Linked DNA regions of Canis lupus familiaris. The protein of the gene in region 1 binds, or shares a complex with, the protein of each later gene. Links are inferred from orthologs where the notes say so. Each region holds a gene or a part of one and is shown on either strand. Other genes may lie near its edges. The genes, in order: BUD13 and CWC27.

Region 1 (4,326 bases):
TAGGCTAATGAGGCCCTCCATGAACAAAGAAAACACGCGGTCTATAGGCATTATCAAAGTAAACTACTTTAGAACAGCTCTTGGAGGGCTCACAAGTTGAACTGGACATATGCCTTCTGCTCAGATCATGATCCTGGGGTCCTGAGATCAAGTTCTGTATCAGGCTCCTGAGTCCATCAGGCTCCTCAGAGAGAGCCTGCTTCTCTCTCTGCCTATCTCTCTGCCTCTCTCTCTGTGTCTCTCATGAATAAATAAAATCTTTTTTAAAAATTAATTAATTAAATAAAACAGCTCTTTGAAAAGTGTCACCTCTTTTGGGCCCTAACATTCCCCCTTATAAATCCACCCTGTACTAAGAATCAAGATTGAGAGTCTTGCATTTCAAAGTCCTCACAACCTCAAAAGATACACACCACAGGCAAATCTCCATCATCATCTTCTTCCTCTTTTTCTGGTTTAGTGGTAGAGATAGATGTCCAGCTCACATCATCATCCACAATCCGCATTCTAAATATGAAAAATAAAAAGATCAAAAAGGGAAGAATCATTCTTGGGTGACAGCCCACAAACAGTTATCTATGGATTTAGTATAAGCTACAAGACTCTGCAAGGTCCAGTCTTTGCCTATACGGCCAACTTCACCTGTACCACTGCCTCCACAGTTCCCTACCTTGCTAATCATCTTTTGGTGCCTGGAATGAGCCAATACCTTACCACATCAGTTTTCACATATTCAGTTCCTTCCTTCGGCCTGGCCTACTCTTCTTTCTTTAATGGGAAACTCTTAAGAGTCCTAGGATACATTTAACTTCCTTGAGCTTCTCCCCTTACTTCCCATGACTAAGAACCTCTGTTATGCATCCTTGGAATACTTTCATTGCATTAATCACAAAGAAAATAAATCAGTTAGTTGTGTAATTAGCTGTTTAAAGCCAGGATCCCTGTTAAACTATAAGGCCCACTAGAATAGGGACTATGCCTTCTCATTCACTGTGATATCCTGAACACCCTGAAGTAACTGGCATAAGAAGTAGGTGTTCAATACATGTTTGTTACACAGATAAACTATGCATGAGTCCAAGTAATTAACAATGACTACCATGATGTGAACAATTCTATCTGAACAGCCAGTTATCACTTTATACCTCTCTAATCACAACCATAGAGCGATAGTATTACTCTCCTTTTAAAGAGGCAGTAACCGGGACACCTGGGTGGCTTAGTGGTTGAGTGTCTCCCTTCCGCCCAGGCCATGATTCTGGAGTGCTGGGATCGAGTCCCACATCAGGCTCCCTGCATGGAGCCTGCTTCTCTCTGCTTCTTTCTCTACCTCTCTGTGTCTCTCATGAATAAATAAATAAAATCTTAAAAAAAAAAAAAAAATAGGGACGCCTGGGTGGCTCAGCGGTTGAGCATCTGCCTTCAGCTTAGGGCCTGATTCCAGGGTCCAGGGATCAAGTCCCACGTCAGGCTCCCTGCATGGAGCCTGCTTCTCCCTCTGCCTGGGTTTCTGCCTCTCTCTGTGTCTCTTGTGAATAAATAAATAAATAATCAATCTTTTAAAAAATAAAGAAAGGAAGCTGCGGTAACAGTCTTGGAGAGACAGTATGTTGCCCAAGGCCGTAGAGCCCACAACGTGGCACAGCCAGGACTCAAACTCTGACTGGTATTACTCCAGAGGTCAAGCAAGCTATTTTCTCTACATGGCACTGTCTGTGTCCAAACAATCGACACAAGTCGGAAGGCAGGAAGACAGAGGGCAAGAACAGGCAAGAAGCAACCCACGAAAGGAAGTGGATTTGGGGGATCCCTGGGTGGCGCAGCGGTTTGGCGCCCGCCTTTGGCCCAGGGCGCGATCCTGGAGACCTGGGATCGAATCCCACGTTGGGCTCCCGGTGTATGGAGCCTGCTTCTCCCTCTGCCTGTGTCTCTGCCTCTCTCTCTCTCTCTCTCTCTGTGTGTGACTATCATAAATAAATAAAAATTAAAAAAAAAAAAAAAAAAAGGAAGTGGATTTGGTCTCTGGAGCTGGGCGTATTGGTTCCCCAGGGCTGCCTGACAAAGTGCCGCCAACCAGGCGGCTTAAGGCAACAGAACTGTACTCTCTCAGGGTCCTGGGGGCTTGAAGTCTGAAATCAAGGTGTCTGCAAGGCAGTGCCCACTGGGAAGGCTGGGGGCGGGGGGATTCCTTGGCTGTTCCAACTGCTGGCAGCGGCAGGCGTACTCGCATACTCTGGCTACTAGTGGCAGCGTAAACCCAGCCCAAGGCCGGCCTCCATCTTCACACGGCGGGCTTTCCCCATCTCTGCGTCCAAATCCCCCCCTTCCTAAGGGGTCCCCGGGCACGCTGGATTTGGCGCCCGTCCTGATGTGCTGTGACCGCATCTTGATTAGCTACACCCGCGGCGGCACTACTTCCGAAGGAAGTCACGTCCTGGGGTCCTGCGCGGACCCGCCGGGAGAGCGGCACGGCGGCCCCGCTCCGCCGCGGAATCCTGGAGCCTCGGTCGGCGCCCGCCCGCGCAGGACTCGGCCCCAGGTGCGCGCGGCGCCCGACTCCGCCGAGCCCCCGGCCGTGCCATCACAGGCTCCGGGCGACCCCGCCGTTCCTCTCGGCGCGACACTCACTCTCCACGGGAGAGGCCGGAAAGCCACCGGGGCGGGAACAGCCTGAGAAAGTTACCGGCGGCCGGAGGCGGCGAGCGCACGGCCGCGGGGCGCGCCGGCCGAGCGCGGAGCCGGGGAGCAGAGGGGCGGCCGGCCGCCGCAGGCCCCGCCCCGCCCCGCCAGCACCCACTCACCCCCTGCCGCCGGCCCCGCCAGGCTTCGGCCGCTTTTTGCGACGCTTGCGACCGGAGTCCGGGCCCCCGTCGACGCCGGCACCTGCCCCAGACAAGTAACGCTTCAGATACTCGGCCTTGGAGAGCGGCGGAGCTGCCGCCATGGCAGCGGCGGGGGCGGGGAGACGGCTCGGCGCTGGGGACAAATTTCCTGAACGCGAAGCGCACGGCGGGGGGCCCCCGGGGGGGCGGGGCCGGGGCCGGAAGTGGTGGAGAGCTGTGGGACCCGCCCCGGGCTGACCCCCGGCTGCGCTTGCTGGCTCTCCGCAGGTGCGCGCGCCTCCGATTGCACCTCCACCTCCCCCTCCCCCTGCCCCTGCCCCTGCCGGCCCGACCGGCAGGGGTTTGTCCACCTGTCTGCCCCTTCAACCTACGATGCAGCTGGCGGGAGGCTAAAACCACGACCCAAACAAGATCTCTGTCCCCAGCAGCTCCAGAAGCACCATAGCGTCGTCAAGACCTCGGGCTCTGGAGGGACGGTGTCCCTAAGCTGGAGTTCGGGCTCCGAAACTTCCAACTGTAGGTCCGGGGGCAACTTAATTAACGAACTGGGGAGTATAATGGCACCTAACTAAATGGCTTCGAGAAATGAGACACTTTTACTGCGTGAGATGCTTAGCACAGTGTCTGAAGCACAGTATGTATGTTGTTTGTATTAGTATGTTAGGTGGAGGTTAGACTGCTCTAAATAGTCTTCCACGAACCATTCAAGAGAGGTCAGGAATTCCAAACGTGATTACCATGAAAAAATATGGAGGTTTCTCTAACCTGTGACCTTCCCCACTTTTGATAGAATACGTAGCCCCCAACTATCTGTTGCCTGCAATCTTTCCTGTGAAAAGGACCTGGCTCTATTTTCAGCCAGATAGAGAAGCTGAATTCTAATTATCAAGTTGGGAGGGGCCGGGGGGAGGGGACATACTCCTTTTCTTCTTGTGAACATTATTTTACATAAATTACCTCATTTAACAAATCTCTCAAGTGGTTTTATTATGCTTGTTTCACAGATGAGAAAAACCAAAGCTTGGAGAGGTTAAGGAAGTTGTCCAACTTTATACAGCCAAAATGTGACCCTTGGGAGCAGAAGCTAGCCAAGTGAGGTACAAGAGGTAAATCCAAAGTTTGTGAAAATGTTAGATCAAGTATTTCCCTTATCTCAACATGTTAAATTTTTGTCACTGTTTGAAAGCCTATTAGTCAAGAAGGCTTGCTTGTTATACTTTATAAATGCTCTGCTCAGAATCCAGGATACATGCTCAAAAAAAAAATTATATATAATATAGGTGTGGAAGTCCCAGCCCTGATGGATGAACTTTTAACCACAGTGTTGTCCTGACTGGTCCAGCTGAGGCCCAGGAAGGAAAGCAGACTGGGTCTCTGAGGGCTTGTGGGGATACCAGATTGATAGAGGGCTTCACTGGCTGGAGGTCCCCATGGGTCCCCCAGACACAACCCTGTGTTGGCTTCTAATCCACTTTGGTGGACC
Region 2 (4,234 bases), on another chromosome or scaffold:
TGTGATCCTGGAGACCTGGGATCGAGTCCCACCTCAGGCTCCCTGCATGGAGCCTGCTTCTCCCTCTGCCTGTGTCTCTGCCTCTCTATGTCTCTCATGAGTAAATAAATAAAATCTTAAAAAAAAAAAAAAAAAGAACACTTAGAAATATGAAGGAGGTGTTCTGAGTTTTCACAATGATGCGAGGTAGGGGTGAGGAGGCAGGCGAAGTTTAGACAACAAAGAATTAGAAGAATTGCTCAAAATACCCAGTGAAGTTTGTGCTGGGTCTATCAATGACATTATTGGTTTTGTTTTCAAAATGCCTTCCCTATATTACAAAATGTCGACCAACAGAAAATTGCATGAACTATGATGCAATCATGCGACAGAATTGTATCTGATGTGAATTTAGTCTATCCTTCCTCAACTACGTACTTTCAGCTCCACTATTTTCTCCAGTATGCTGCTTCATGGTGTTGCCTACGTGATACAGACTAGCCCTCAGTTTAAGAATTCAGGTGATACTGATTCCATGACCGACTCCTCTGACTCACACTGCATATAAAAATCTTCCATGGGAATTGACATACCATGGCCATTAAATCAATCAAGATATCAGGGGACATCTGGGTGGCTCAGCGGTTGAGCATCTACCTTTGGCCCAGGGCGTGATCCTGGAGTCCCGGGATCGAGTCCTGCATTGGGCTGCCTGCAAGGAGCCTGCTTCTCCCTCTGCCTGAGTCTCTGCCTCTCTCTGTGTGTCTCTCATGAATAAATAAATAAAATCTTTAAAAAAAAAATAAATGAAGTATTTCTCTGGATTCTCATCAATTCTTTTTAAAAAGTCAGTTTGTTTTTCTTCTAAGGGAGAACAGGAAAATATTTGTTATCCTGAATGTTCATATATATGTACATATATTTAAGTGAAGTTTTAATTGCAGGGACACCTGGGTGGCTCAGCGGTTGAGCATCTGCCTTCGGCTCAGGTCAGGAACCCCAGGGTCCTAGGATCGAGTCCCACGTCTGGCTCCCTGCATGAAGCCGGTTTCTCCCTCTGCCTGTGTCTCTGCCTCTCTCTCTGGGTCTCTCATGAATAAATAAAATCTTAAAAAAAAAAAAAAAGTCAGGAAATCACGCTCCCATTCTAATGTGGGCACATTTCCCATTCTCTGCTTTCTCTGACAGTCATCTCGTGTTTTAAGGCCAGCTCTAAAAAAATCCCTCATCCATGAAACTTTCCCGCCTCCCGCAGTTGCTCCCTCTTTAGTGCTCCCATACCACTAGCCTCCTCTCACCACAAGCGCCTACCAGATGCATCACAAAGCTTTTTCTTTACATGCCTGCCTCTCAAACAAAACCCTGAGCTCCTCCAGGGCGACCACTACCACCTTCATCCTTCACTGCAGCCCTAGAACCTAGTACAGGGCCCAAGGCTACCACCAGGCGTTCAATAAAAGGTTGTAGAAGGAATAGAGAAAGAGTAGTTCCCAAGTACACCAAAAATAAATAAATAGATAGCTAAACTAATATAAAAAATAAACATAGTAAATAAATATAAAAAATAAGTAAAAATCTAAAAGCCAAAAATGAAAATAGAAAATAAAAAATAAAAATAAATAAAAATAAAAATTTAAAAATAAAAAATAAAAATAGAAAAATAAAAATTAAAAATAAGTAAAAAAAATTAAAATTAAAAAATAAAAAACGAATAAAAATTAAAAATAAATAAAAATCAAAAAATAAAAAACCAAAAATTATAAATAAAAATAGAAAAATACAGAAAATAAATAAAAATTAAAAAACAAAAAAATAGAAAATAAATAAAAAAATCAAAAGTTAAAAATCAAAAATAAAAATAGAATAAAAATTAAAAATAAGTAAAAATAAAAATAAAAATTAGAAAATAAAATGAATGAATAAAAATTAAAATAAAAAATTAATAAAAATAAAAAATTAATAAAAAATTTAAAATTATAAAAATAGAAAATAAGTATAGGAAATAAAAATTAAAAACTAAAAATAAAAATAAAAAACGCAAAAATAAAAAATAAAATTAAAATTAAAAATCGATAAAAATTAAAAATTAGTAAAACCTAAATCAATAAAAATTAAAAATAAATAAATCAAAATAAAAAATTAAAAATAAATGTTAAAAATAAATAAAATAAATAAATGTTAAAAATAAAAATAAAAATATAAAAATAAAACATATAGATATAAATAAACATAAATATAAATATAGAAATAAATAAATAGAAACAAATATAAAAATATAAAAATATAAACAAAGTATAAATTAATAAAAATATAAGTAAAATACAAATAAAACAAATAAAAATATAAACAAGTAAATATAAATATAAATATAAACAAACAAGCCGGTTTTCAGAGTACTTTGTTTCCCCCTGGGCCCTAGAGGACCCCCCTGCCTGAGCCAGGCTGAAGCAAGAAGTGGGGCCGCGGGCCGGGAGGTGCGGGAACGTGGCCTCGAGGACTGGCGCGTACCCGCGGGGCGGAGCGCGCAGACGGTGTGGGAGGCCGCGCCCGGGGACGCGGAGGACGGGACGCCCGGCGGCCGAGCGGTCCCGGAGGAGCCCGCGGCCCCAGGCGAGGCCCTCACCTTCCCGTTGGTGGGAGGCTCCTGGATGTAGATGTTGCTCATGCCGCCCGGTCCGCGGGGCTCCGCTCCGGGTTGCGAATGAGGCCGGAGGGCCGACCCCTCCCGCCGCCCCTACCAGCGCAGCTCCCTCTCTCGGGGGGTCGCGGAGCGCTCCAGGGCGTCAGTGCCCCCAAGACGGCCACACCAGCCACTACCTTTACCCCCCAAACTAGTCCCTCACGGGCGCCGCCATGTCGCTTCTGGACCTGAGCACCGCTAATCCCGAGGAGGGGGGATTCCAATAGCCTCGGGGGGGGGAGAGAAAAGACCGCTAAGAACCGACACATTAATTGAATCTGTGGTACTCCTTTTGAAAAAAAGCAATCTCTAAGCCTTGGTGTTTAACCTCAGTAAACGGGCTCGGGTCTTATTCACTCCTCCCCTCCGCTCCCCCCCCGGGAGCGGGCGGCAATGGTTCGGACCGTGTGTGCTCTGCAATAGGCCTCCCCCCGCGGAAACGGCTTCGACGGGACTTGGGTTCCGCTGTCGCCAGCGGCCTTCCCGGACTGTCACGGCGGTCCCGCGGCGCCGGCGGGAGGAAGAGGCCGCCCTCGCCGTTTGCGGGCCTCGCTGCAGGCGGGCGGCGGGTCCTCTCGGAAGCCCAGGGCTCCTGCGACGCCTCCCCCCGCCTCCTTGCCGTCTTCCAGCGCTATGGCCGTCCCAGGTGAAGCCCGGCGCCGGGGCCCCGAGGTCGCGGCGAGGAAGGCAGCGGGGCCAGGGGAGGTTGGGGTGCGCTCGGGTCGCGGGGGAGCGCCGGGCGGGGCGGGGCGGGGCGGGGGGGGGCGTAGCCTGAACAGGTTCGTCTGGTCTGCAGGAAAAAGTTTCTCCTCCAAAAACAATCAGCGAAGGGAAGGAGGGGCGGCGGAAACGGCGTCCCTGCAGCGCCGCGGAGCTCCAGCTGCGCTGGATGGAGGGCGGGGGGGGGGGGGGGGGGGGGCTGTAACCGTAGGCCGGGCGGCGGGCGGGGGTGCAGGGGTCCGGGGCAGCTGGCTTACCTCGGCCGTGGCTTGAAGACCGGATCCCGGCGGCGCCCCTCGACGGAGCCGAGCAGCCGGAGGCATTGGTGCAGCGGCAGCCGCAGGCCCGGCCCCCGGGGCTCCCTGGTGCCCCGAGCTCCCGGGTGGCCCTGCACCCGCCGCTTTTCGTGCATCTGCAAAAGCAGCCTCGCTCCTTGACGCCTGTGGGTCCCTTCCAAGCTCTCGGTTCTGTGGGTGGGGGCGGGGGGCGGGGGGGTTCACCGTAAGGGAGCCCTACCTACCAAGTAAGCGCCCCGGAGCTCTCCCGTCTGCAAGGACGAGCGTCGGGAGGGCGTCTCCTTAAACCAGGTTTGCTCCCTGTCTTCCGAGGAACCCTGGTTGCAGGAGTTAGTTGCAGAATTATATCCCAACCCGCACCCCGCACAGCTTGGAGACTTCACGATGCACTTTAGTGTAGGAGCGACTCAGGTGCTGCGGTTCAGAAGCCCGCCCTCCCTTTGTTTCAACCTGCCCTTCGCGGTATTATTGAGCCGAGTTTGCACTGTGGCAGCCTCTTCCTGTCTCTTTTTGAAAAGACTGCATGTGTCCATGAGAGACACAGGGAGATGCAGGTTCC

The links.
Region 2: BUD13 (region 1) and CWC27 share a complex: the UniProt entries of both Homo sapiens proteins name them as parts of the activated spliceosome. The link is inferred for Canis lupus familiaris from reciprocal best matches to the Homo sapiens genes BUD13 and CWC27.

What each region holds. Positions count from the first base shown.
Region 1 is NC_049226.1:16,817,207-16,821,532, reverse strand, and holds the start of BUD13 (BUD13 homolog), read right to left. Parts: upstream 2,988-4,326; 5' UTR 2,945-2,987; coding exon 2,802-2,944; intron 508-2,801; coding exon 414-507; intron 1-413. UniProt on the Homo sapiens protein: Involved in pre-mRNA splicing as component of the activated spliceosome. As a component of the minor spliceosome, involved in the splicing of U12-type introns in pre-mRNAs.
Region 2 is NC_049223.1:49,881,865-49,886,098, reverse strand, and holds the start of CWC27 (spliceosome-associated protein CWC27 homolog), read right to left. Parts: upstream 2,871-4,234; 5' UTR 2,762-2,870; coding exon of another isoform or gene 2,681-2,761; 5' UTR 2,645-2,680; coding exon 2,603-2,644; intron 1-2,602. Other genes in the region: protein SREK1IP1, read left to right, coding at 2,681-2,761, 3,083-3,305. UniProt on the Homo sapiens protein: As part of the spliceosome, plays a role in pre-mRNA splicing. Probable inactive PPIase with no peptidyl-prolyl cis-trans isomerase activity. As a component of the minor spliceosome, involved in the splicing of U12-type introns in pre-mRNAs.